Linked DNA regions of Diceros bicornis minor. The protein of the gene in region 1 interacts with the protein of each later gene in a pairwise test. Links are inferred from orthologs where the notes say so. Each region holds a gene or a part of one and is shown on either strand. Other genes may lie near its edges.

Region 1 (11,936 bases):
ATCTGCAGACAGCTAATCTTCGACAAAGGAGCTAAGAACATACAATGGAGAAAGGAAAGTCTCTTCAATAAATGGTGCTGGGAAAAGTGGACAGTCACACGCAAAAGAATGATAGTAGACTATTTTCTTTCACTATACACAAAAATTAACTCAAAATGGATCAAAGACTTGAAGGTAAGACTTGAAACTGTAAAACTCCTGGAGGAAAACATAGGCAGTACACTCTTTGACATCAGTCATAGAGGGATCTTTTCGAATTCCATGTCTACACGGACAAGGGAAATAAAAGAAAAAATAAACAAGTGAGACTTCATCAGACTAAAGAGCTTCTGCAAGACAAATGAAACCAGGATCAAAATGAAAACACAACACACCAGCTGGGAGAAAATATTATCAAATCATATATTTGACAAGGGGTTAATCTCCATAATATATAAAGAACTCACACAACTGAACAACAAATAAACAACCCAAGCAAAAAATGGGCAGAGGATATGAAAAGACATTTTGCCAAGGAAGATATACAGATGGCCAACAGACACATGAAAAGATGTTCAATATCACTAATCATCAGGGAAATGCATATCAAAACTATACTAAGATATCATCTTACACCCGTTAGAATGACTATAATCACCAAGACAAAAAATATCAAATGTTGGAGAGGATGTGGAGAAAAGGGAACCTAATTCACTGCTGGTGGGAATGAAAACTGGTGCAGCCTCTATGGAAAACAGTATGGAGATTCCTCACAAAATTAAAAATAGAAATACCTTATGACCCAGCTATCCTACTACTGGGTATTTATCCAAAGATCTTGAAATCAATAATCCAAAGAGGCTTATGCAGCCCTATGTTCATTGCAGCATTATTCACTATAGCCAAGACATGGAAGCAATCCAAGTGTCCCTTGACTGATGATTGGATAAGGAAGATGTGGTGTATATATATATATAATGGAATACTACTCAGCCATAAAAAAAGACAAAATCGTCCCATTTGCAACAACATGGATGGACCTGGAGGGTATTATGTTAAGTGCAATAAGCCAGAGAAAGAAAGACAAACAGTGCATGATTTCACTCATATGTGGAAGATAAACTAACACACCGACAGAGAGAAGAGTTGGTGGTTACCAGGGTGAAGGGGATTGGGGGGTGGGCACAAGGGGTGAAGGGATGCATTTATACGGTGACTGACAAACAAAAATGTACAACTAAAATTTCATAATGTTATAAACTATAATGACATCAATTAAAAAAAAATAGGCAAAGGATCTGAAAAGACCTTTCTCCAAAGAAGATATACATATGGCCAATACACATATGAAAATTTGTTCAACATCATTAGTCATTAGGGAAATGCACATCAAAACTATAATGAGATGCAACTTTACACCCACTAGGATGGCTATAATCAAAAAGACAGAAAATAACAAGTATTGGCAAGAACCTGGAGAAATCGGAACCCCCTTACACTGCTCGTGGGAATGTAAAATGGTGCCGCTGCTGTGGAAAATAGTTTGGTGGTTCCTCAAAAATTTAAACATAGAGTTACCATATAGTCCAATGATTCCACTCTTTGGTTTATACCCCAAAGAACTGAAAACATATGTGCATGCAAAAATGTGTATATGAATGTTGATAAAAGCGTTATTCACAACAGCCTAGCCAAAATGTGGAAATCACTCAAATATCCATCAACTCACAAATGGATAAACAAAATATGGCATCTCCATACTGGAATAGTGTCCAGACATAGAAAGAAATGAAAAAAGGAATGCTATAGTGTGGATGAACTTTGAAAACATTATGGTAAGTGAAAGAAGCCAGATGCAAAAGCCACATACTGTATGATTCCATTTTATATAAAGCATCTAGAATAGGCAAAGACATAGAGAAAGAAAGTAGACAAGTGGTTGCCTAGGGTTGGGGGGAGGGGAGAACGAGGAGTGACTGCTAATGGGTATGGAGTTTCTTTACAGGGTGATGAAAATGTTCTGGAATTACACTGTGGTGATGGTTGTATAACTTTGTGAATACACTAAAAGCCACCAAACTGTACACTTTAAAAGCGAATTTTACATGAATTATATCTCAATTTAAAAAAGAAAAGAAGAAGCCTAAACGAAGGGATTCTGGGGAAGGGGCACTTACTGTCATCCCCTAGGAGGTCACCAAGGACATCATCTATGGAGCCTGGAAGAGAAAAGCAGCCATCATGACCTCAGGAGAAAAGAAGAATGATCCTTACAAGCCTCACGTCTTGAGACCTCACTCCAGGACCTCAGAGGTCTCAGATGTTGGGCTTAGCTCTCTCTTCACGGGCCACGAGATGTTTTCTAACTCTCTGGCAACAAGTCACAATGCCTTGTGGAAAGACCCTAGGGTAGAAATTGAAAATAACTTTCTCAAAGGATGGTGGTGAAGATTTTCAGTAGAACCTACATTCTGTGTGACACACTGGCCAACAAGCCAGTCTTCCAGACTTGGAACAAAGCCCAGTTTGCTTCTTTAGGAAAAGTGTCCAAGATTTCTAGGCACATACAAGCTTCTTTCATACCAATAGCCTCCTTGTATCCTTCCATCTGAGACCTTCAGAACTGGTCTGGAGACATACCTTCTTGGCCACTTTCCGATGGGGTCATGTGGGGGAAACCCAAGTTTGAGTCCTGAATGAGGTCTTGCATCCAGCTGAAGTGCCTTTACCACCACCTGTAACCCCAACCGTATGTTTTTTTTTTTTTTTTTTTTTTGGAAGATCAGCCCTGAGTTAACATCCATGCTAGTCCTCCTCTTTTTTGCTGAGGAAGAGCGGCTCTGAGCTAACATCTATTGCCAATTCTCTTCCTTTCCCCCCCCCCCCCAAAGCCCCAGTAGACAGTTGTATGTCATAGTTGCACATCCTTCTAGTTGCTGTATGTGGGACGCGGCCTCCGCATAGCCGGATAAGCGGTGCGTCGGTGCGCGCCCGGGATCCGAACCCGCGCCACCTGTAGCGGAGCACGCGCACTTAACCACTAAGGCACGGGGTCGGCCCCCAACCGTATGCTTCTGGATACAGAGCCCAACGAGAAGGGTTTTTTCCTCAATTCCCATCCCTAGTTTATTTCTGTATTACTCTGAGGGCCAATGAGGCAGCATAAGGAGTCCCCTAGGAAGACCAAAGCTGCCTATGAAATTATGGGGAAATCAGCAAGACTCACACCAAGAACATTCAGACACAACAAAGTTATTTTTGGACCCAAGGGGCAGAAATTATTTTTGACTTAAGGGTGATGTTCCATCTCTCCACTCACCTTTCAATCCCTTCTTGGTTTTTGGTGCCTAAAATGGGAAAAACAAATCACATTAACAAAATCAGTGAACATGTGTTGAAACTGAGAATGCAGAATGAATTGCTTGGTCTTTTGCCAAGTCACGAGAGAAAAAGGAGCTCCAGTGGCATTCAGAGACAGAAGCCCTTTATGCTTTCCTAGAGTTTCTCAGAATAGACTCATTCAGAGCGTGGAAAAGCTCCCACTAACCAGTACAGGATGCCACTGTGGGTGCAATCCGGTGGGCAGAAGTCTCTGCTTTTCACTGATTTCCAGACACCACATGCAAACCTTCCCAGCCAGGCTGTAATGTGACTGGGAATGTTTTCCTCTCTTCCATGTCCCTGTCTCCTCAATACCAGCAAGAGACACTTAAAAATGCTTCCAGCTGGACATTCAGAGGCTCAGAAGAAAGTCTTGCTCATTGCTTAATAAGAAGTTTGACATCAATTCTACTTCCTAGCACAGTTCTCTGGGGACCACATCCTGGTCCTTGACACCTAGCCCCCAAGTACTCCATGCAGTCAAGATCTTGGGGGTGGGAGTGGGGGTAAGAGCGGGTTCACATTTCCATACATCTTACTCTGCATTCTGCCTACCATCTCTAAGGCTCTAGGGGCTGCCTGTGGCTCCTTCACAGCGCTGTCCACATCATTTGAATTCTGCCCACATGGAGCTCATCCTTCCTAATAAAGAAAATTAAAGTGGTTGCTTAAAAATGATGGAGCTTTCCTATTTCCATAAATTAACAATTCCTTATGGGGACAGCAATTCAGATGAGAAGCAAAGTGCTCTGGGTAACTTAATGAGCTTTTCAAGGCTTCAAGATTACTCCCATAAAGGGCAGTGGTCCTCATCCTTTATCCTGAGAGAGGATGGGGGGGATGGCAGGTATCCATCTCAGAAAGGAAGTAGGTGCTAGGTACTATGGCCAATACACCTTCCCAGGCAATACCCATGACTACTTCCTAGGCAGCATTCAGCACAAAAGCTGATGTGAGTGCTGGTTACTCCTTGACACTATATTCACTGATGGTGGAAATTTTTCCCTTCACACTAACTGTAAATCCGACTCACCTCATTAATAGAGAAGTTTTCCTCAGAATTATCACTCTCTCCCTACCCCTCCTCAACATTACCAAAACCGACTTTTGGCATGCCTTGGAAGAAAGGAGTCGGAGGAGGCCATCTCGGTTTCGCTGGGTTTGGCCTGTCCTGTTATTAGAAGGCAAAGTTTAGCTGGGTTATGCATAGGGGCCACTCTGACTATTTTTGTATCTTTCTCTGTAATGGCAATTTTCACGACCTACAAGTCCAAACATGTTTTGCACCATAACACATCCAGGAACTTCTGCCATCTCCTATCGATACTGTCCCAGCCTCCCACACCGCGAGAATTTCTAAGAGAGGTTTGCAAAAGCCACAGGGCCACACAGTACCATCGCGTCATCGCATCTCTTTAACCAACTCCGTGCCAGGCATTTTAAAATCCCAAACCTGCCCTTTAGCAAGACCCCTCCCGGAGTCACCCCCTCGGTCCCGAGACTCCGTGCCCCTCCATGCGTCACCCTCTCCGAGCGCCCAGACCATTTGCGCTCCGAGCTCAGCCTACAATCCTTCTAGCCCCTGAAATCCTCCGGGTTACGCGCCATTCCCCGCAGAGGCGCAGACGAGGGCACCTGTCCCAGCCATGTCCACTGGTCCCGGCTCCGCGAGAGCCCAGTTTGGTCGGTCCTCCAGCTTCAGAACCCCGCGGCCGCCAATCTCTCAGTCGCTCGGCCTCCGGAAGGCGAGTCTCGAGGCATCCTGGGAGTTGTAGTCCACGGTCCGCTCAGCTGCTGGAGTCAAGGGAACCACGGGCGCCGAGATGAACTACATTTCCCACGGTGCCCCGCCCTGGCCGTTGGTGGAGGCCGGGCCTCTGTTCCCGGCTCCGCGCGTTGCTGGGTGCTCCCTCAACACCCGCTCGGAAAGAGGGAACAGGGCCGCGACGGCCGGTGGTGTTCTTCCTCTCGCCCTCCCTAGAAGACTGCCGGGGGCCTGGGCTCCAAAACCAAACACTAAAATTCCTCCAGCACTCTTCTGGGGGCTGACTCGTGGCGAGGTTGGAGGCGTGAAAAACGTGTTAAGATTGGAAGACCGATAAACCATAATTATATATATTTATCCCACACAACAAAGCTTCGGGAAATGGCTGTGACCTTTCTGTTCAATTATCAAAATCAAAGCTGCGAAACCAGAATGAAACCCAATACAGCCTCCCAATAAAGACACGTAACATTTTTTGTGTTAATTACAGATTTTATTAAGGGTTTTCCAGTTTTACAAAGGAAAAGGGAGTTAGTGGTTTGCCTTACTCGCAGGCCAATCAGTGCTGGCGGGTCACTGCCGTCCAACCGTGACTCACACGCTCTGGACCAGCGCACCTCCTCAGTACTCCCAACCCCCTCGACCCGTCCGGCCGGGGATGGGTAACAATACATGGAAATTCATCTTGTCAGGTAGGAACCAAACTCAAACCACAACAGTAAAAGGAAAAAAGGTAGCAGAGTGATTATATATTACAAAGGATGTTTAAGTCCCGTCCTTGAATCCACAACAATTGGAAATAAAATGGTGTTTACAAAGTAGCAGTCAGCAGTCTGATTATGTTGAAGATCACACATTTGATACCTAACCTAGGAAAGTCAACAGTATTGTGACAAAACAATTTACTTTAGTTCATAATATGTAAAATCACTCCCAATTTCCCATGATCTTCCCGAGATAATCAATGGCACACAAATTTAAGGCAAAAGTCAAAGTCAAACATAAAAACCCCTTGGAATCCAGGAATTTGCAGGTCTGCAACAGCTATCATCTGCTAACTCCAAAGGTTCCTTCTATGTTTTCTATGTTTAGTATCATGGACCACAGGAAGAGGTACTGAAAAATTTGTAAGTGTGGATAGCTAAAAGCAAAACTCCACCACCACTATTTCAAAATGAAAAGTCATTTTAGTCATTTACAGTGTGACTTGGTCTAATCCTCCAAGCATGGAGTAGTAAATATTCAATTAGCTGAAATGATCTCTACATTACTCCATGAAAATGATCAAAGCCTTATCTGAGTCAGAATTACCAAGACTCTTGGTCTCAAGCAGAACAATCAATTTCCTGGCACGGCTCCTCTCTCCAGCTACAGCAGCAGCTACTCTTGAAGATAACCTATAACCCGAGGCATACCTTCCGCATATATAAAGATTAGCAGGTGTTACAGACCATCTGCATCTAATTCTCTTCCTTCCTAATAAAACAGATGGAAAGAACACAGATAGGGGGAGGAGGGACTTGGAGCAGCAGCAGTCTAAAGAATTTTCGTTTCCCAGGGAACTCTAGAATCATGAATTTGAAGTTATATTTCTCTAGCCAAAGCCCTGCACTGAAGAAAACCAAGAATTAAGATCTAACATGTTAACTTTAGGAACTATAAAATGCCTCCAGGTATATGTAATCTGAAGTTACAAGCAGTGAGTTCTTAGAAAGCATGAGAATGTAGGTAATGTTGCAATTAAGCAAATGTTCTGAAGATAAGCTGATACTTAGCAGTGCTACATTCTGAAGACAAGAACATGAAGGGCCCCAAAGGCTTTGGGACCAACTGTGTTTTCAGGTCACTAATGTCCAAATACTGAAATACACCTCAGTGTATCTCTAGAAGAGCACAAAGCAGAGCTCCCAACACTTCAGGAAGAATCAACCTTCATCCATTACAAATAGCAAAAACATCTCTATTAAACCTCAAATTTTCAATTTTGGGTACTGTTCAGAGTACTTTCTTAAAAGGCTTATATCATTATCATCTAATAGAAAAATCTTATTCTACTCAGTATTTATCATCATTTTGGAGAAGACTGTGTTTTCTCCAAAATTTATCCAAAATACAAAATTGAAATTTATCTTTGTATTTTTTGTGAAAACAGCTTACAAAAGTACCCAATAGAACCAAACTTATCTGTGGCAAAGTCTGGCTTCTTAGGGACAGCAAACTGGACCTGCTGCTTCCTTTACCAAGTAGCCAACAAAACAAACATGTATTCCTAGATCGACCAGCACAGACACTGCTACCACAGTGATTACGGCTAATGTAAGAGCCATCTGCTCAGGCAGCTCTCATGCCTTCATCTTTTGTTTTTAGTGTTACCTAAACCTAATAAACCTGTATCTTAAAATTCTTCCTAAGAATTTCATAAGAAACACGTTTAATTGTGTGGTACACTCTTTCCCTCTTGATAGCACAAATTAGTGAGGTTTTACTATATCTTTATTCTTTAATTACAGTGAATAAAGTTCATGACAAAATATTCCAATGTTAATAAAAATAGTATCAAATATCAGATTTAGTTTTTAAATAAAACTCAAGGTGCTAGACTGATGTAATGTCTACATCCAGTTCACATCTGCTAAAGACAGATCTCAGATCTATGCAGCTGGATTAGGTGGGACGGTGTCATTTCAAACACCCTTAGATCCTGACCCACAGATAGGCATCTGTGGATAAGGTATTTAACCACTAATTCTGAAACAAATCTACATTTAATAGGTCAATATTAAGAAATTTAAATTTACTTTTTGTTATTTCCCAGAATCCAAACTACTGTCAAGATATACCCAAATGAGATTAACAAAGAGTGCTTTTCACTTCAGTCTTAACACAACTATTACTTAGTTCTCCTGGTAGAAAGATTAAGGCTTGTGTCAACAGACAGTATTTCTGCTGGACCTAAAAGTCTCATATTACTGGTTCCACTGGGATAGAGTTTACGGCAGGTCTCAAGATAGGAATTACATTTTCACTGAATTATACTACCTTCTCAACAACTGGGTCTAGAACAACTGGTTTCATGAGGCAGATATCACAGACACAAATAGTTAACAGGTTAAAAAAAAAAAAATCAAGTGACATGTTTTACATTGATTTCAAGAAAAAAACTCATGTTAACCTTTAAATATAGAATGATTGTATAAATTAGATTTCAGCTGAAAGGACAACTTAGCAATTCAGATAAAGCTCCTAGAAACATACTGAAAACAAACCCAGATACACAATTCTTTAGAACTTCCATTTATCTTTTAGCCATAGTTTCAATGATTATATTTTCTCATCCAAAAATCAGAACATGGTTTGTCAAAGGATATCTCTGTGCTACTCCTGGGTGTAAGAGGTAACCTGAGTGATGCTTTTATTTTTTTAACGCCCGATACTGTACCCTCCAAGCATTTTAATGGCTTACGCCAAAATGACAGAATATATGAAATCTGAGTTGTTTCAGAAAATCCAGTTAATATGGTCACCCAAGTTACAATAACCGTAACCGAGAGCTCTCCCTACACTTACTCTACTAAGAAAGAACTGTGACTCTTTTTGCTCCTTTCTTCAGAAGAAAGGAGAGCAAACACCACTGACTGAGGTCCGATCAGCTGCCAAAAGTTACATGTAGAGATAAGTTTGCCACCTACCCCTTCCCAAGACGTTAGCGACAAAGGCAGTTGTAGAGCTACTATAGACAATTTAGGGATTCCTCGAACGGGAGATGAATTCCCAATTACACGAGACAATGATCCTGCAGTAGGCCTGTGTTGAAGAAATCCTTGTGCTGGGAAAATGCACCAGGAATAGTTAGATAGGAATGATACACGGCAATACATTGGCAAAGGAGGGCAAGCGGGCAGAGAATGTGTCAGTGTGTCAAGCACAAACTCACAATCAGTTTCCTGCCCCCAATCCCTTTTCTTCAGTCCTGCTTTTTAGCAGGCCCCACGGTGGGAGTGGTAGGACATTTAGCAGGAAAGCCTGGAAGGGTTATACCTCACTTAAAAAATATCTTTGCTTAAAAACACTTATATATCCAGTGATTAAGAACTGAGATGTGAAAATAATTAACTACTTAGTAGTTAAATTCTACTAATTATCAAAAGGCATGGCCTACTGGGATCAGCAGCATTATAAATGGAAGTCATATGACATTTCTTAAAGCTTTTTCTGAATGCTTAACAGGTCTCTTTCAGTGTTAATTGCACTTAAAACACACCTTTTTTTTCATTTAATCTCTGAAATCTGTTCTTTTTTTCCTTCATTTATAAAAAGAGGCAAGGGGTCAATTTATCATTTGCTCTATAGCTCTCTGAATTCGATAAAGATGCCGCACAGATTTGAGCGACAGGAGCAAGGGGAGTAGAAGAGCAGAGCTGCTTTCTGGAACAGATTACACTCGTCATGACACTTCAGAGCTTGGACTGCAGTGGCTTCAGGTGCTTGTAGTAAGATTCATGGACCTTTAGGGAAGGGAGAGAGAAGAAATTACTGATAAGGAGCTTGTAATGTAAAACAGTGTACTTTTAATGGAGAAATTACCTGGACCTTATTTGGATTCTAATTCAAAGAAACTTAAGGGAAAAAAAATTGAGTCAATTGGGGAAATCTGAACAGTGGGTAGTTCACGATACTAAAAAATTTACTATTAATTTATTAGGTGTGAGAATGGAATGTGGTTAATTTTTTAAAAGAATCTTTATCTTTTAGAGATACATATTGAAATATCTATGGATAAAATAATCTGATACCTTAGATTTGTTTCAAAATAATCCCCGGGGTGGGGCGGCTGGGGGGGTTCAGATGAACCACAACTGGCTGTGAGTAGACAGCTGTTAAAGCAGGACAAAGGGTACATGCAGGTGCATTAGAGAATTCTATTTTTGTACATGTTTGAAAATTTTCAATTAGTTATTAACTACTCAAGGAAATTAAAAACCTGCTTACTGTGGGAACGACCCAGTTCCCTTCTGAACCTGTTGCTCAAATAAGGTGATTGTCCGAAATGGTCACAAGAGCTTTCAAAGGTTCCACAGATGGATCACTCTCAGAGATCTTTCCTGCCTTAATATTTAAATGAAGAATTTCAAAAGGTGAAAAGGCATCGTTTTTTACCTCTGTTTTGTTCAGTGGGGATTTCTTGGCCCACTCAAACAAGTTTTCGTACACATTCCCATCATAGCGGCCAAGCACAGAGCCGAGTGTCACGTCCTGAAAATCAAAAGCATCAACCAAAGCAACAGCCTCAGGGCGAATGGCAGTCAGTAACTCCTTTATACGCTGGTTCACTTGGGTAATCTGAGACTCGGTCATGATGCTCCCCTAAACGAAACAAAATAAGCAAACAAACATATATATGTCTGTATAGAGACAGAGATATTTATATACACACAAATATAAAATAGGCCACAATTATTTTTCTACAAAAGTAAATAAACAGGACTTAACCTTAAAAATACTGACCTGAAGAAAATCCCCTGCATTCTGACTGATTCCATACAGAGAATACAAGAGACATAAATTCCTTAAGACAGCTTGGACAGATTTATCTTGAATCTTGAGGAGTTTTTCTGTAAAGAGCTTAACTACCACATAGTGGCAATGTGCCTAGATAAAAAGAAAACACCAGAGTGTGAGAACCTTTGAAAAAGATTCAACACACAGTGACAAGGGTTTCTGCACTAAGACAGCAAGAGGGGGAGTGGGGGAGAAGGGAAGCGGAGGGCGGGAGAAAGAAGAGGGGGAGAGAACTATCACTGACCTCACTTGCTCGAACAAGGTCAACGGAAGTTAGGTTCCATGCTACCTCCTTGCTTTTTCTGTGAACCACTTCAGTTTGAAGGTTTTTCGCAGCAATTGCTACTAATCTGTTAAAAAATGAAAGAAAACTGGATCTTGGAGGAAATGATCAATAGTACTCATGCCTTCTTCCTCTTCCATCAGGCCCCTAGCCCCAGAGGCCCCCACAGCTACCCATTCTAGCTTTTGAGGGTGAGCTCACCTGGCCGCACGAAGTTTATACGCTTCTGTTAGGCTGTCCGGGCTGTTGATATCCACCACAGTCGGCCAGACTGCTACCTGTTGTGGCTGGATGCGCTGACTGGGCAGGTCATTCAAGTAGGACACCATGCCACAGACCAACTTTCCTGAGTGCACCTGGTCGTAACTTTTCAGCAGGAACCTAAAAATCACCAGCACACATGCTTTCAGTAACTATACTTTTTGTGAAACAGAAACAAACTCTTGAAACAACTTCAAGCTATGTGACAGGTATTTCATACTCGCTGGTCTGACCACAAGATAAAAACAGTGGCTCAGGATGAAAGACAAAACTACATCTTTCAGGCACAAATATAATGTGAAGAGAAAACATGGGAAGAGGAACTGATGAAAAGGACTGGAACACTCTTGATAATAGAGAAGAAAAATCATGAATTAAGACTCTCACCTAGCCGTCTGCAGCATCATGACAGTGTTTTCTCCCTCAAAGGTGCAGGCTGGTGTAAAAGTGACGTAAATATTTGGAAGACCACTGCAATGAGAATAGCCATGCCCGCCACACGCCATGCGACACGCTTCAATAGCAGCGCTACTTGTCCAGGTGGTGAAAGCCTTCAGCCCCGCGGTGAGGGCGTGAAGCTGAAGGGGGAAAGCACAAGGCCATCAGAACACTGGTGGTGCTGACAGTCCGAGTTCCAAAGAGAAACACTTATCCTCACCTAACAGTGCTAGTCACTTTCAACATCATTTGTCACGTATGTAAACTGAA
Region 2 (12,559 bases), on another chromosome or scaffold:
TCTCGTTTGCTAGAGATGGCTCGCACCAGCTCAAGAAATCTGCTTACTAAATTTTCAGGAATTTTGCAAGCTGTGTTAAAAAACAATCATTTAAAAAATTAAATTATATATAAACTATGTAAATTATATTTAAAACAATAAGCACTCAAACATCATTGCCCCGATGATGTTACTACATCTGACTATCATCTGTGCTCGAGGTTATTTCCGTCTATGTGTCTGGACGGGGGGACGTGACATAACGGGTGCCACACTGCGCCTCTCTTCCCAACTCTGCCTGCAGTGACATCACATCAGCAGCTTGAAATCGGCCATGTGGGAGTATTTACACTATGGGAATTAGCAAAAGCTACAAATCAGGGCTTCTTCTCCCCACTGAAGAGCCAGTTGTTAAATACTGACCACACACCACTTAGCGTTTCCCCTCTGAGAGCAGGGACCTAGACAGCAGGAGGGACTGAGCGAGGGAAAGGCCTAAAGAGATAAAGAAGCAAGATCAGAGTAGGGAAGTGACTCCCTCAAGATCACATAGAAAGTCACCCCCGAGGCAGATCTGGAATCTGGGTCTCCTGACATCCAGGCCAGGGCTGCGGAGGTAAGCAGCCAGCTCTTGTGGGGGAAGCATTCTGGGGATGTCCAAGAGAAGACAGCCCCTTGGAGCTGGCGATGCCATGCACAGGCGCACTGGGACTTACCCGCCTGGACAGCAGGTCAAAGCAGAGTTTGTTCTCACTGGTGCCCAAGTTAATGATGCCCTGGAGACGAGAGGTACAGAGGCAGGGTGAGCATGGCAGAGGGGGCCGACGAGAGGCCCGCGGAACGCACCGAGGCAGCAAAGAAAGGCAGGAGCTCCCTGCAATCCCGCCCTTCCAAGCGCCCCCCTTGCCTTTGCTCAAGCCGTGCCCTCCACTCTGCTCCTTGAACCCATCTACCTATTTCTAAAGTTCAATTCAAATGCCATCTCCTCCGGGAAGCCTTCCCCAAAACCCCACCTGGAAGAGATCTTTTCTTCTTCTAGACCCTTTAGAGCACTGGTCAGTTTCTGCCCCAGGTCACAGGGACTGTTGTACATTCCTTATCTCTCCCACTAGATGGGAAGGTCCCTGAAGGCTGGATGCATGCCTGAGACACCACTGTGTCTCTCCAGGCGCTTAGAAGGACTCAATACATTTTTACGGGATGAAGGAATGTACAAAGTAAATCGGGGCTCTGGCTGGAACAGAAACGAGGGTGTATGCAGAGCAAGAAGAGCCCTGTGTTGGTGGAAATGCTCCCCCGGAGACCCGCGCGACATCACCCACCTTGACCCCACCCCATAGGCACAGATTCTCATAGGGGAGGGATGGGGGAAGGCACAGCTCAAGTCGTCCCTTATAGAGTCGCAGAGAGACGCATGCGCTATCCTCCTGACCCCTGAGTTACTGGGGGCATGAGGAAGGAGGAGGATGAAGAAGTACAGCTCGGATGAGCTCAGATTATGACAACTAAAAGCCAGTGCTCCTTCACACTCCTCCACCCACGCCAACGCTCCTGTAAATCCTGCCACTTCCACCCTCAAAACACGTGCATGGTCCAAACACTGCTCACCCTCCACTGCCAAGACCCCGGGCCAAGCCACTAGCATCTCCCGGCTAAGTTACTGTAATAGCTCCCTGCTTCCTTTCTTGCCCACTCCCTCCCAATCACTGCCCACCCTGGGTCTAATCTCCATACAGCAGTCCAAGTCCAAATCATCTTTTTAAAACCAAAATCAGATCATGTTGCTCCTCCTTTAAACACTTTCCATCCCACTTTGTCTAAAATTAGAAGGCTCACCATGTCCTGTCAAGGCCCTCCAGGGTCTCTCACCACCCCCACCCCGTTACCTTTCTGACCTCATCTCCAGCCAATCTCCAGCCGCTGACCCCTTTGCTGTCCTTTGAACTCATCAAGCATGGTTCCACCCTGAGCCCTTTGCAGTGGCTGTTCCCTCTGCCTGGAATGCTCACTCCCAGGGATCCCCACCTCCCGGTATTCACATCCTTATGTGATCTCTTCTCCTTGAGTGCGGGCTGGACCTAGTGCCCTCCTTCTAATGAATAGGATATGCAGAAGTGATGGGATGTCACTTCCAAGATTAGGTTATAAAGAGCCCGTGGCTTCCGTCCTGGGTACTCGTGATCTCTCATTGTCTCTGGGATCACTTGCCCTGGGGGAAGCCAGCTGCCATGTCATGAGGCAGTGCTATGGAGAAGTCCATGTGGCAAGGGACTGAGGCCTGCCAACAACCTGTGAGTGAGTTTGGAAGTGGATCCTCTCCCCTCCACCCTGTGAAGCCTTCAGATGAGACCGTAGCCCCTGGCTTTACTGCAGCTTCACAGAAGATCTTCAGCCTGGGGCACCCACCTGGATTCCTGAACCTCAGAAATTGTGAAACATTTGCTTTAAACTGCCAAGATTTGAAGTAATTTGTTACACAGCAATAGATAACTAATACAATCCCTCACTTTTTTCAGGTCTCTGCTCAAATGTCACCTTATTAAAATGGCATTCTGTGATCACCTGACATAAAGTAGCAACACCCCCAGCCCACTCCATCATTCTCTATCCTCTTTACCCTGCTTTATTTTTCTCTACAGCACTTATCACCACACATCATACGTTTTCTTTGTCTGTTCCTGTCTGTCTCCCCCACTAGACTATAAACTCCATGAGGGCAGGAACTTTATTTTTATTCACTGCTGTAACCCTGGCATCTAGAACAGTGCCTGGCGCCTGGTAGATGCTCAACAAATAAACATTATTAAAGGGTTATTCGTGAGAGCTCTCTGCCCTCTGAAGGTATTACTGGTAATAACTTACAATAATCAGGACAGATAACATTAATAATATTAGCAGCTACCATTTATTGACTGCTCTATGTGGAAGCACTGTGCTAATAACTTTACATGCCTGATCTCATTTCATTGTGACTATTCTATACAGCAGTTGTCATTATCCCATTTTAGAGATGATCTGAGGTTCAAAGAGGTTAAGTAATTAGCTCAAGAATACACAACCCATAAGTGAAACAGTTGCAACCTGAACCCTAGTCCTGTCCCATCTATAAAGTTGGACAGTTGATGGGCAGTGGGTCAGAATCCATATAAGAGCATTCCATGGTTCTTGAATTCCTCCCTCACAAATCAGGGCCCCCTTAATTATAAATGGGCTATTTTCTGATCCAGCTAATAAACTGGGGCCTCCCTGAACTACATCAGAAGCCCTCTAGGAGATCAGAGGACCATAACTCCACCCTGACAAGAGCAAGCTGGGTGCTGCCCTACTGGTCAAGATAGGGTATCCCACCCTGCAGTCTTCTCTTGAGTCCCAGTGGGGAGAGGGCTTCACTTACACTGGGGTTCTTGTCCTCATCATACTCGTCCATGTGGTAGGTCCTGTAGCCCTCCTCAGCTGAGTCCCAGAACCATTTAATGACTCTTCCTCTAGAGGACAGGTGGGAGCTGTTGGAAGAGAACCTGGTGGTGGGATCACCCACTCCATAGAGCTCCAGCAGCTTCTGGTCTGGTTTTCTAGAGTATTCTCTTTCCAGACCATCCCCATAGTTACTGTCCAGGTCCTGTGTGGAGGCTGGGCCCGGACAGGTGGAAGGTGCCCTGGATTCCTTCTCAGGGAGGGCGAACATCTACAAAAAGACAAAAGCACTCAATGCACCAAGCATCAGAAATGAATTGGTGTCATGGCCCCCCCTCCCCATCTGCTCCTTCCTTTAAGTCTGTATGCTCATCACTTCCTATGTCCCTGTGGTTACTACTTGTAACCATGTGTGCAATCGCTTCAACAAGTAAATCCTGTTAAGCATCTAGGCCATGCCAGGAGCTGTGTTTGCTTTCATATGACTTTAACAGACAGCTGCTTTGGCTTGTTTTACTTTTGTGAAGTTTTTCATCCTGCAGCCTAAGGGGTCACCAAGTTCTTTGCCCATTCTCGCTTACCTCAATTGCAAAAAGCCAGGTTCAAATTTTCCAACTTGAAGCAGCCTGGAATCCGGAAGGGGCCCGTGGCGACTGCCGTGAACAGGGGTGAAGGATAGGATGAGATTATTCGGTGGTCTGCAGCAGAGGGTGGCTCCACAAGTGCAGGCCCCCCAGGCAGAGCTCCAGGGGCCATCTTCACTCCTGAGGGAGGGAGGCCAGGGCACCGGGAGAGGGCGGTCTCATCCCGTGAGCTCCTCCACTTTCTCAGCCAGCTTCCTCCTCTGCACAGCGGGTATAACCGTAACTACCACACAGGGTAGCAGTGAGGATATAAATATATGAGTTAATGCAGATAAAGCGCTTAGAACAAATCCTGCCTCATAGCCCAAGCGCAGTGAAACATGTGATTATATCATAACTCCTCACCGAGGAGGTTATATCATAACCCCAGTCCTGAGGCACGAGCCCCACACACCAAATGATGGGTGACAGCCAGCGGCCCAGAAACCCAGGGGGGGCCCGATTAAAGTGTGGTCCACGAAGTCTTCTCTGGGGTCCTCCCAGGCTCGGCTGGGCTCTTCCGAGCGCTCACCTCCGTCGCTCCCGACAGCCCAGGCCTGCGACGGGCAGCGCGGACGGAGGCCGGGGTGGGAGGCGCAGCCCGGGGCCCGGAGGCCTGGGGGACGGCGGGGCTCGGCTCAGCGCCGCCCCCGAGCGAAGGGCGGGCTCGGGGCGTGCAGCCGGGCGGCGACGCGTCCCCAGCCGGACACCCGCGCCCGATCAGGCCTGGGAATCCCGCAGCGGGGCGGATCCGGGGGATAAAAAGCGAAAGGGCCTCTGCACGGCGGCGGGCGGCTCGCGAGAGGCGCTCCCGGTGTCCAGGAGGAGGAAGTGTGAGTGGGGCAAAGGGCTTGGGGACGGAAGGGCAGACTTGTGCAGAGTCCTCGAGCCCTGCACGAAGCGGGGCCCCGAGGCCGCCCTTCTCTGCAACGCGGGGGTCGCACCTACTTGGCCGAGCTGGCGGGGACCGGCGCTGGCACGTGCGTCCGCTTCCTTCGCCCGCACACGCTTTACGCGCGGGGACCCGGCCCCAGGGCACCCGGTCTCGGGGACCACGGGGCTTCCTGGACTGTTGGGGCCCAGGTCGTCCCCTCGCGACCGCGGCCGGAGGACGCCTCCGTGCGGCCTGCGCGTTAGGGGGCGCACACGTGGCCGCACGCCGGGGGCCCGGGCTCCTCCGATCCTCCCGTGCGCGCTCCCCCCGCCACTGGCCGCTCAGGCCCGAGGAGCAGCCGGAGGAGGGGAAGGGGCCCGGGGCGGAGACTTCCACGAGGAAGGGGCGGGCCGCCCGCTGCCACCTCGGCGCCCTGTGGCCTGTCGGTTCCGGTGTCCCCCCCTCCCCCGTCGGCACGCGGGCGCGCCTCCCTCTGCCTCCCCGGCCTAGTTCTCCGCTTTTGAGGCTGTTAGAGCCACGGAGGGTCTTGGCAAGTGTACGCCTGGTTGTCGCCCACAGAAAAGCCTTTTCGATTAAGGGGAGGGCATCCTTAAAACATCCTTCTTCTATGAGAGTTTTTCACGGGGGTTTGTTAATTTCTCCCCCTTTCCTTCTACGCAACATTTGTGGAACTCTGCCACGGACCCTACACCTCCGGGGCTTGGGCAGTGTGTCAGAGCACCCAGGCTCTCCGAGGCTCCTGGAGTAGGAAAATTCTCCTCTCCCCCTGACAGGAAATACGCAGGATCCCTCGCTACAAGTATGCCTGGGAAAACTTGACTGTTTTCTGACCACTCCACTTGTCTTCACTTTGGCCTTGCCACTAACACTGTGACCTCGAGCAGCTCTCGGGACTTTTTTGGCCCTCTAGTTATGTTCTGTGAAATAAGCCAGTTCTCTCCATTTAAGTCACATCATTCTATTTAATTCAGATAAGTAGTCTCATTGAATGCCTGACTTGTGCCAGATCTCTGCAAATGCTGGAATACAGCGATGAGCACGACAAACAGGGCGCTGGCTTGGTTGCTTGGGAAGGCCGCCATATGGATGTGATGACTATTAAGAAAGGGAGGGCTGGGGGCTATGGAAGCATGCAGCAGGGGGGGTTAACCCCACCCCCACAAACATAGGCACTGGCTCACACAGAAAGCCCTACACACCATACATTCACCCTAAACACTTAGGAAGTGATGGTTGAGTTCTGAAGGATGAGTCCTAGTTAGCTAGCTGGAGGGTGGGGTGTTGGAAGCAGAAGGAAGGGTTTGATGGGGTCTTGGAGGTTTGAGTCAGTGCGGAGCATTAATGAACTGCAACAAATCTAATTCGGCTGGAGGTTGCAGGGTCTGGGAGGAAGGCTGGAGATACAAGCAGAGGTCAGGTCATGAGTCTTTGTAAATAAATCATGATAAGGACTGTGGACTTCTCACTGAGGGCATGGGACAGATATATTGTAATCCCCAGAGCAAACAAGTTTTTAAAAAACCAAAAGGTATAAGAAGCCAAAAAAGGCAATAAAATGTGATACTAAATAATGATTGATTAATCTGAAAGAAGGCAAACAGGAAGGAAAAAAATGAATAAAGAGCATATAGCACAAATAGGAAACAAGTAGTAAGACAGTTGACTTAAATCCAACCATATCAATAATTACATTAAATGTAATGACCAGGACCGATTAAAAGATCATCAGACTGGATAAAGCAGCAAGATTCAAGTATATGAATTCAATTATATGAACATGTCTGCAAGAGACATGTTAAATAAAAAGACAAATGGTTAAAAGTAAAATGGGAAAAAACATACCACACAAATGATAAGAGGATGGCTATTATTAAAAAACCAGAAAACAAGTGTTGGCAAGGATGTGGAGAAATTGGAACCCTTGGGCACTGTTGGTGGGAATGTAAAATGGTACAGCCTCTGTGGAAAACAATATGGAGAGTCTTCAAAAAATTAAAAAATAGAATTACCATATGAACCAGCAATTTCACTTCTGGATATAGTCCCAAAAGAATTGAAAGCAGGGTCCTGAAGACATATTTGTGCACCCATGTTCATGGCAGCATTATTCACAATAGCTAAAACATGGAAGCAACCCAAATGTCCGTTGACGGATGAATGGATAAGCAAAATGTTGTATATACATACAATGAAATATTAGTCTTCAAAAGGAAGGAAATTCTGACTTATGCTACAACATGGATGAATCTTGAGGACCTTATGCTAAGTGAAATAAGCCAGTCACAGAAAGAACAAATACTGTAAGACTCCACATATGAGGTACTAAGAGTAGGCAAAATCGTAAAGACAGAAGGTAGAATGGTGGTTGACAGGGGTTGGCGGAAGTGGGGAAGGAGAGAATAGAGAGTTATTAATAGGTACAGATTTTCAGTTTTACAAGATGAAAAGAGCTATGGGGATGGATGGTGGTGATGGTTGCACAACAATGTGAATATATTTAATCCCACTGAACTGTACACTTAAAAATGGTTAAGATGGTAAATTTTATGTTATGTGTATTTTAACACAAAAAATCATAAGAAAGCTAAAATATTTGTAAGCTGACATAATAGACTTCAAAATAAGAATTACCAAAAATTCAAAACATTTCATAATGATAAACCGATCGATTTATCAGGATGACAAACAATTTTAAATGTTTATACTCCTAATAACAAAGCTTCAAAATACAGGAAGCAGATACTGACAGGATAAAAGGGAGAAATAGACAAATCAACAATTATAGTTGGAAAATTTAGCATCCTTCTTCTAGTAATAGATAGAATGGATCAAATAACAGTAAGAATCAGAAGATTTAAACATCATAAAACAATTTAAATCTAATTAACATTTATAGAACACCACATCCAAAAACCACGGAATACACTTCTTTTCAAGTGCATGTGAAACATTGACCAGGACAGACTATACTTGGCCATCAACATGTCTCAGTAAATTTCAAAGGATTGAAATTGTAGTTTACGTTCTCTAGTCACAACGGAACTAAAGTAGATACCATTAACAAAGATAGCTGAACAATCCCCAAATGTTTGGAAGCTAAGTAACATATGCTAAATAAATCATAGATAAAAAAGAAATCACAGGGAAATTAGAACATTGAATGTTTAAAAAAACCAACATATCAAAATTATGTATAGCTAAAGCAATGCTTGGAGAGAAATCAATAGCTTTAAATGCTTATATTTGGGGGAAAAAAGCTTAAAACCATTGAGTTAAGCTTCCACATTAAAAAGCTAGCAAAAGAGCAAATTAAACACAAAGAAAATAAAGATAAGAATGGAAATGAAACAGAAGAGAAACAACAGAGAAAAATCAATGAAACCAAATTTGGTTCTTTGAAAAGCTCAATATAATTGATAAACATTTAAATTAACTGATCAAAAAAACTCATTTCAATATAAAGAAAGAGGAGATAACACTACAGATCCTATAGATATTAAAGGGATAATATGGGAATATTATAAACAATTTTGTGTCAATAATTAAACTTAGATAAAATGGACAGATTTTCTTGAAAGACATAAATTGCCAAAACTGACACAAGAAATAGAAAATGTGAATAGCCCTATATCTGTTACAGAAATTGAATTCATGGGTAAAAACCTTCCCACAAAGAAAACTCCTGGTACAGATGGCCTTACAGGTGAATTTTACCAAACATTTAAAGTTTTTAAAAAATTGATTTGACACAAACTTTCAGAAAATTGAGGAACACTTCCAAAACATGTATGAGGTATTACCCTGATACCAAAAACAACAATGCATTACAAAAAAGAATATTATAGCGCAATATCCCTCATGAAAATAGATGTAAAATTCCCCAAATTCAACAATATATAAAAGGATGATGCATCAATGACTATATGGGGCTTATTGCAGGCATATGATGTTGGTTTAATTTTTTTTAATCAATGTAATTTACCACAATAATTGAAAGAGAATTATATCATCTCTAGAGGTACAGATAAAAACATCTGACAAAAATTAAACCCCCATTCATGGTAAAACTCTCAGCAAACTAAGAATTGAAGGAAACTCTTCTATCTGGTAAGGGCAGTATGAAAAATACTTGCAGAAACGTTATGCTTAAGAATAAGAGACTGAACTCAATCCTGCTAAGATTGAAAACAAGGCAAGAATGTCCCCTCTTACCACTTTTATTCAACATTGTACTGGAGGTTCTAGGCAATGCCATTTGAACAGAAAAATGAGACATAAATATTGAAAACAAAGAAGGAAAATCATCTTTATTCACAGGCAATATGATTGTATACATTGAAAATTTTTTAAAAAGTCCTCCCCAAACTACTAGGGCTAATAAGTGAATTTAGCAAGGTCACAAGACACTGTCAGGAGATGAATCTTCCTCAGTCTCTCATGTTTCTGCCTCTCTTGCAAGCAGGGACACTGACTGCCTATGTTCTAGGCTATCTTCAAGGATATATGTGTATATATATCAAACAGCCTTGCATGATAGCAACAGTGTCTCCCTCCAGAGCAGATGATAGGTTGGTTTACTACTCAGTATAATAAGATAATGTCTCCCTCAGGGCCAAAGTTCAGGCAGGCTTACTGCCCATTATAAAAGAATCGGGTTCCTTAAACTTGGGTTTCCTCCTTTGCAACACACGCACTGCACATGGAGGCATCCGCTAGTGCGCCTCAGCTTGCCCTGTAAGAATCAGGGCTTGGGCAACTGAAAGCTGATACTCTGATTACTGCTACTGCTGTGAGTAGTAAGCTGTCCTTTGTCTCTGACCCAGGATTCTCATGCCTTCTGCCAGGATCCATGAAACCTGTTGGTTTGCAAGTAGGGTAAAATCTCAGAGCCTTCAAATTCCTTGATAGATACAACATAGAAAAATCAGTTGTTTCAATATACTGGCAAGAAACAATTAGAAAATGAAATTAACCATACATTTAAAGTAATATGAAAAGCATAATGTAGTGATAAATTTAACCAAATATGTGTAAGATCTGTACACTGAAAGCTACAAAGACCTTGCTGAGAGAAATTAAAGATATAAATAAATGCAGGGAGATTCCACACTCGAGGATAGGAAAATATTAAATTTTTCTCACATAACCGTTTGAATCTTGAACGGAATAGAAGACAGAAACAGCCTCTCTCTTCCATGGAAGGCACCATCCTCTCCATCTCAGGACAGTGGCCTTATGAGACTATAGCTCCCATTACAGAGATCTCAAGAGACTCTGGTTCCCATCTCCACCTTCTCTTCTGGTCCTAAGTGCTCCCTCATTCATCGGGTGAATTCCCTTCCTATGTCTATTAGCCAAGTCAGTTTCTAAAGAAATTTGTCTAGTGTAAAAGAAAAAACCTTGAGGGCCTGCCCAGTGGCGCCAGCAGTTGGGTGCGTGTGCTCTGCTGCGGCCGCCCAGGGTTCACTGGTTCGGATCCCGGGCACGCACTGATGCATCGCTTGTTAGGCCATGCTGTGGCGGCATCCCATATAAAGTATAGGAGGAGGGGCATGGATGTTAGCCCAGGGCCGGTCTTCCTCAGCAAAAAAAGGAGAGGATTGGCAACAGATGTTAGCTCAGGGCTGGTCCCCCTCACAAAAAAAAAAAAAAAAAAAAGAAAAAGCCACCTTGAAGAATCTGGATTTGTTGGTGTGCTGCTTTTTGTTGATTTGAAAAAAAAAAAGGAAAAATTGTCATTGAAGAACAAGAACCACCAAACCTGGACCCAAGAGAGAGAGGATGGTCACAAACCCAAGTGAATGGCCAAAGCCATCAGTTGGTGCTAAAAGCTCTTGCATCTTCTAGAAAATGGCGATAGTCTCTGCTCTGCCCATTCACAGCATCAGTCCTCAGGCTAAAGCTCAGACGTGCAAGGGCTTTGCGGAGAAGCACACAGGTGGTATGATTTGAACAGCTGACAACACTAGAGCTGAAAATGGAAGACCCAGGCTTGTCACCAGAGATTCATTTCAAAAGCCTTTTGAGAAGGCAAGAATGGAAAGAACTTGTATTTGGAAGCAGGAACGTTTGGAATTATAACCGCCACCCTGCCACTCAGCCACTCATGTGTAAGGTGGGTGTGATCATGGAAGGATCCTAAGGGACACTGCATCCAACACCTGGAAAGTCCCCATCAATTAGGGATCACCTTTTTCCTTCCTTTCTGACCTGCCCCCAGACAGCATTCTGCACATATAACCCACCTTAGAATTTAAAAAGAAGGGGCCGGCCCCGTAGCTTAGCGATTAAATGTGCGCGCTGCACTGCTGGCGGCCCAGGTTCAGATCCCGGGCGCCCACCAACGCACCGCTTGTCCGGCCATGCTGAGGCCGCGTCCCACATACAGCCACTAGAAGGATGTGCAACCATGACATACAACTATCTACTGGGGCTTTGGGGAGAAAAAAAAAAAGAGGAGGATTGGCAATAGATATTAGCTCAGAGCCGGTCTTCCTCAGCAAAAAGAGGAGGATTAGCACGGATGTTAGCTCAGGGCTGATCTTCCTCACAAAAAAAAAAAGAAAAAGAAAAAAATCATCTAGCTCCCAAAGATGACAGGAAGAATGTGAACAAGAAATAAAACAGACCTGGAATTTAAGAGAATATGGAATTTATTAGATACGGAATACAAAAATAAACCCATCAGAATAGGGACCCAGAAAGCTGCCTTTATTCCTCTCTAGGCTTTCCTACCCCAACCCCCTTAAACACATTTTGTACACACACAACGGCTACCAAAGACTAAAAAAAGATGCAAAGCTTCTAAAAATGACAGGTGCTCAGCTTAAGGAGGTTGATGACTAGGTCAGATGAGCCCATGCCTGCAGAAGCCCACTGTCTGTTCAGTCAGGGCACCAGGTCAATACCCCAGCCTTCTGGACCAGGGGCGGAGCATGTGGGACGCCCTGAGCGTGTGACTGGCTGGAGCCCCTGGTTGGGAGGCAGGCCGCTTACTCCCTCAGTGTATCCTCCAGTTGCTTCACTATCAAATCCTGCCTCTCCTCCACAAGCACCTGACAGAACCGACGCATGGCTGGCAGGGTCAAATGGGGACAGAGAGAGAAATATTTACTAGGTCTGCAGGTGGGCCCCAGATACACTCAGTCATGGTAGACCACCATAGAGCCTCTGGTTCAGAGATGCTGCACTTCAGCCCTCCCTTCCTTAGGACAGATGTCCAAATCTACCTGCCACGTCCCCGATGGCTCTTTGAGCTTCATCGTCACAGCACCTGCCTGCCAGACACCTTCATGACTCAAATCAAATCCTGTAATATGGCTTATGGCCTTGGCTCAAGGTTTCTATCTGCCTCTAGTGACCCTTCGCTCAGTCTATTCTCCAAGTTAGCCCAAAAGATATTTCTGTAACATAAATGTTCTCTCATTCACTGCTATATTCCCAGCAAGTAGAACAGCGTCCAGCGTGCAGTGAGATGCAATAGATAGTTGTTGAAATGAATGTCCTGTTTCTATAACCTTCAGAGGAGAATCTAAACTCCACTGTATAACATAGAGGGACTTCCATGGTCATCTGTCTGTCTCACCTAGTAGACTGCAGGCCCCACAAGGGCGGAGTACCACTTCTTATTAGCTTATCGTCCCAAGGC

Evidence for each region.
Region 2: the proteins of FBF1 (region 1) and ACCS interact in a two-hybrid assay, tested with the Homo sapiens proteins (2 studies listed by BioGRID and IntAct). The two-hybrid records come from large-scale screens. The link is inferred for Diceros bicornis minor from reciprocal best matches to the Homo sapiens genes FBF1 and ACCS.

Annotation. Positions count from the first base shown.
Region 1 is NC_080757.1:56,321,748-56,333,683, forward strand, and holds the start of FBF1 (fas-binding factor 1), read right to left. Parts: upstream 5,101-11,936; 5' UTR 4,996-5,100; exon of another isoform or gene 4,885-4,995; intron 4,532-4,884; 5' UTR 4,394-4,531; intron 4,003-4,393; 5' UTR 3,919-4,002; coding exon 3,916-3,918; intron 3,327-3,915; coding exon 3,299-3,326; intron 2,199-3,298; coding exon 2,157-2,198; intron 1-2,156. Other genes in the region: ACOX1 (peroxisomal acyl-coenzyme A oxidase 1), read right to left, coding at 9,580-9,630, 10,283-10,489, 10,631-10,774, 10,929-11,034, 11,169-11,348, 11,616-11,806. UniProt on the Homo sapiens protein: Keratin-binding protein required for epithelial cell polarization. Involved in apical junction complex (AJC) assembly via its interaction with PARD3. Required for ciliogenesis.
Region 2 is NC_080770.1:25,892,476-25,905,034, forward strand, and holds the start of ACCS (1-aminocyclopropane-1-carboxylate synthase-like protein 1), read right to left. Parts: upstream 5,190-12,559; 5' UTR 4,965-5,189; intron 4,047-4,964; 5' UTR 3,975-4,046; intron 3,665-3,974; coding exon 3,374-3,664; intron 756-3,373; coding exon 696-755; intron 1-695. UniProt on the Homo sapiens protein: Does not catalyze the synthesis of 1-aminocyclopropane-1-carboxylate but is capable of catalyzing the deamination of L-vinylglycine.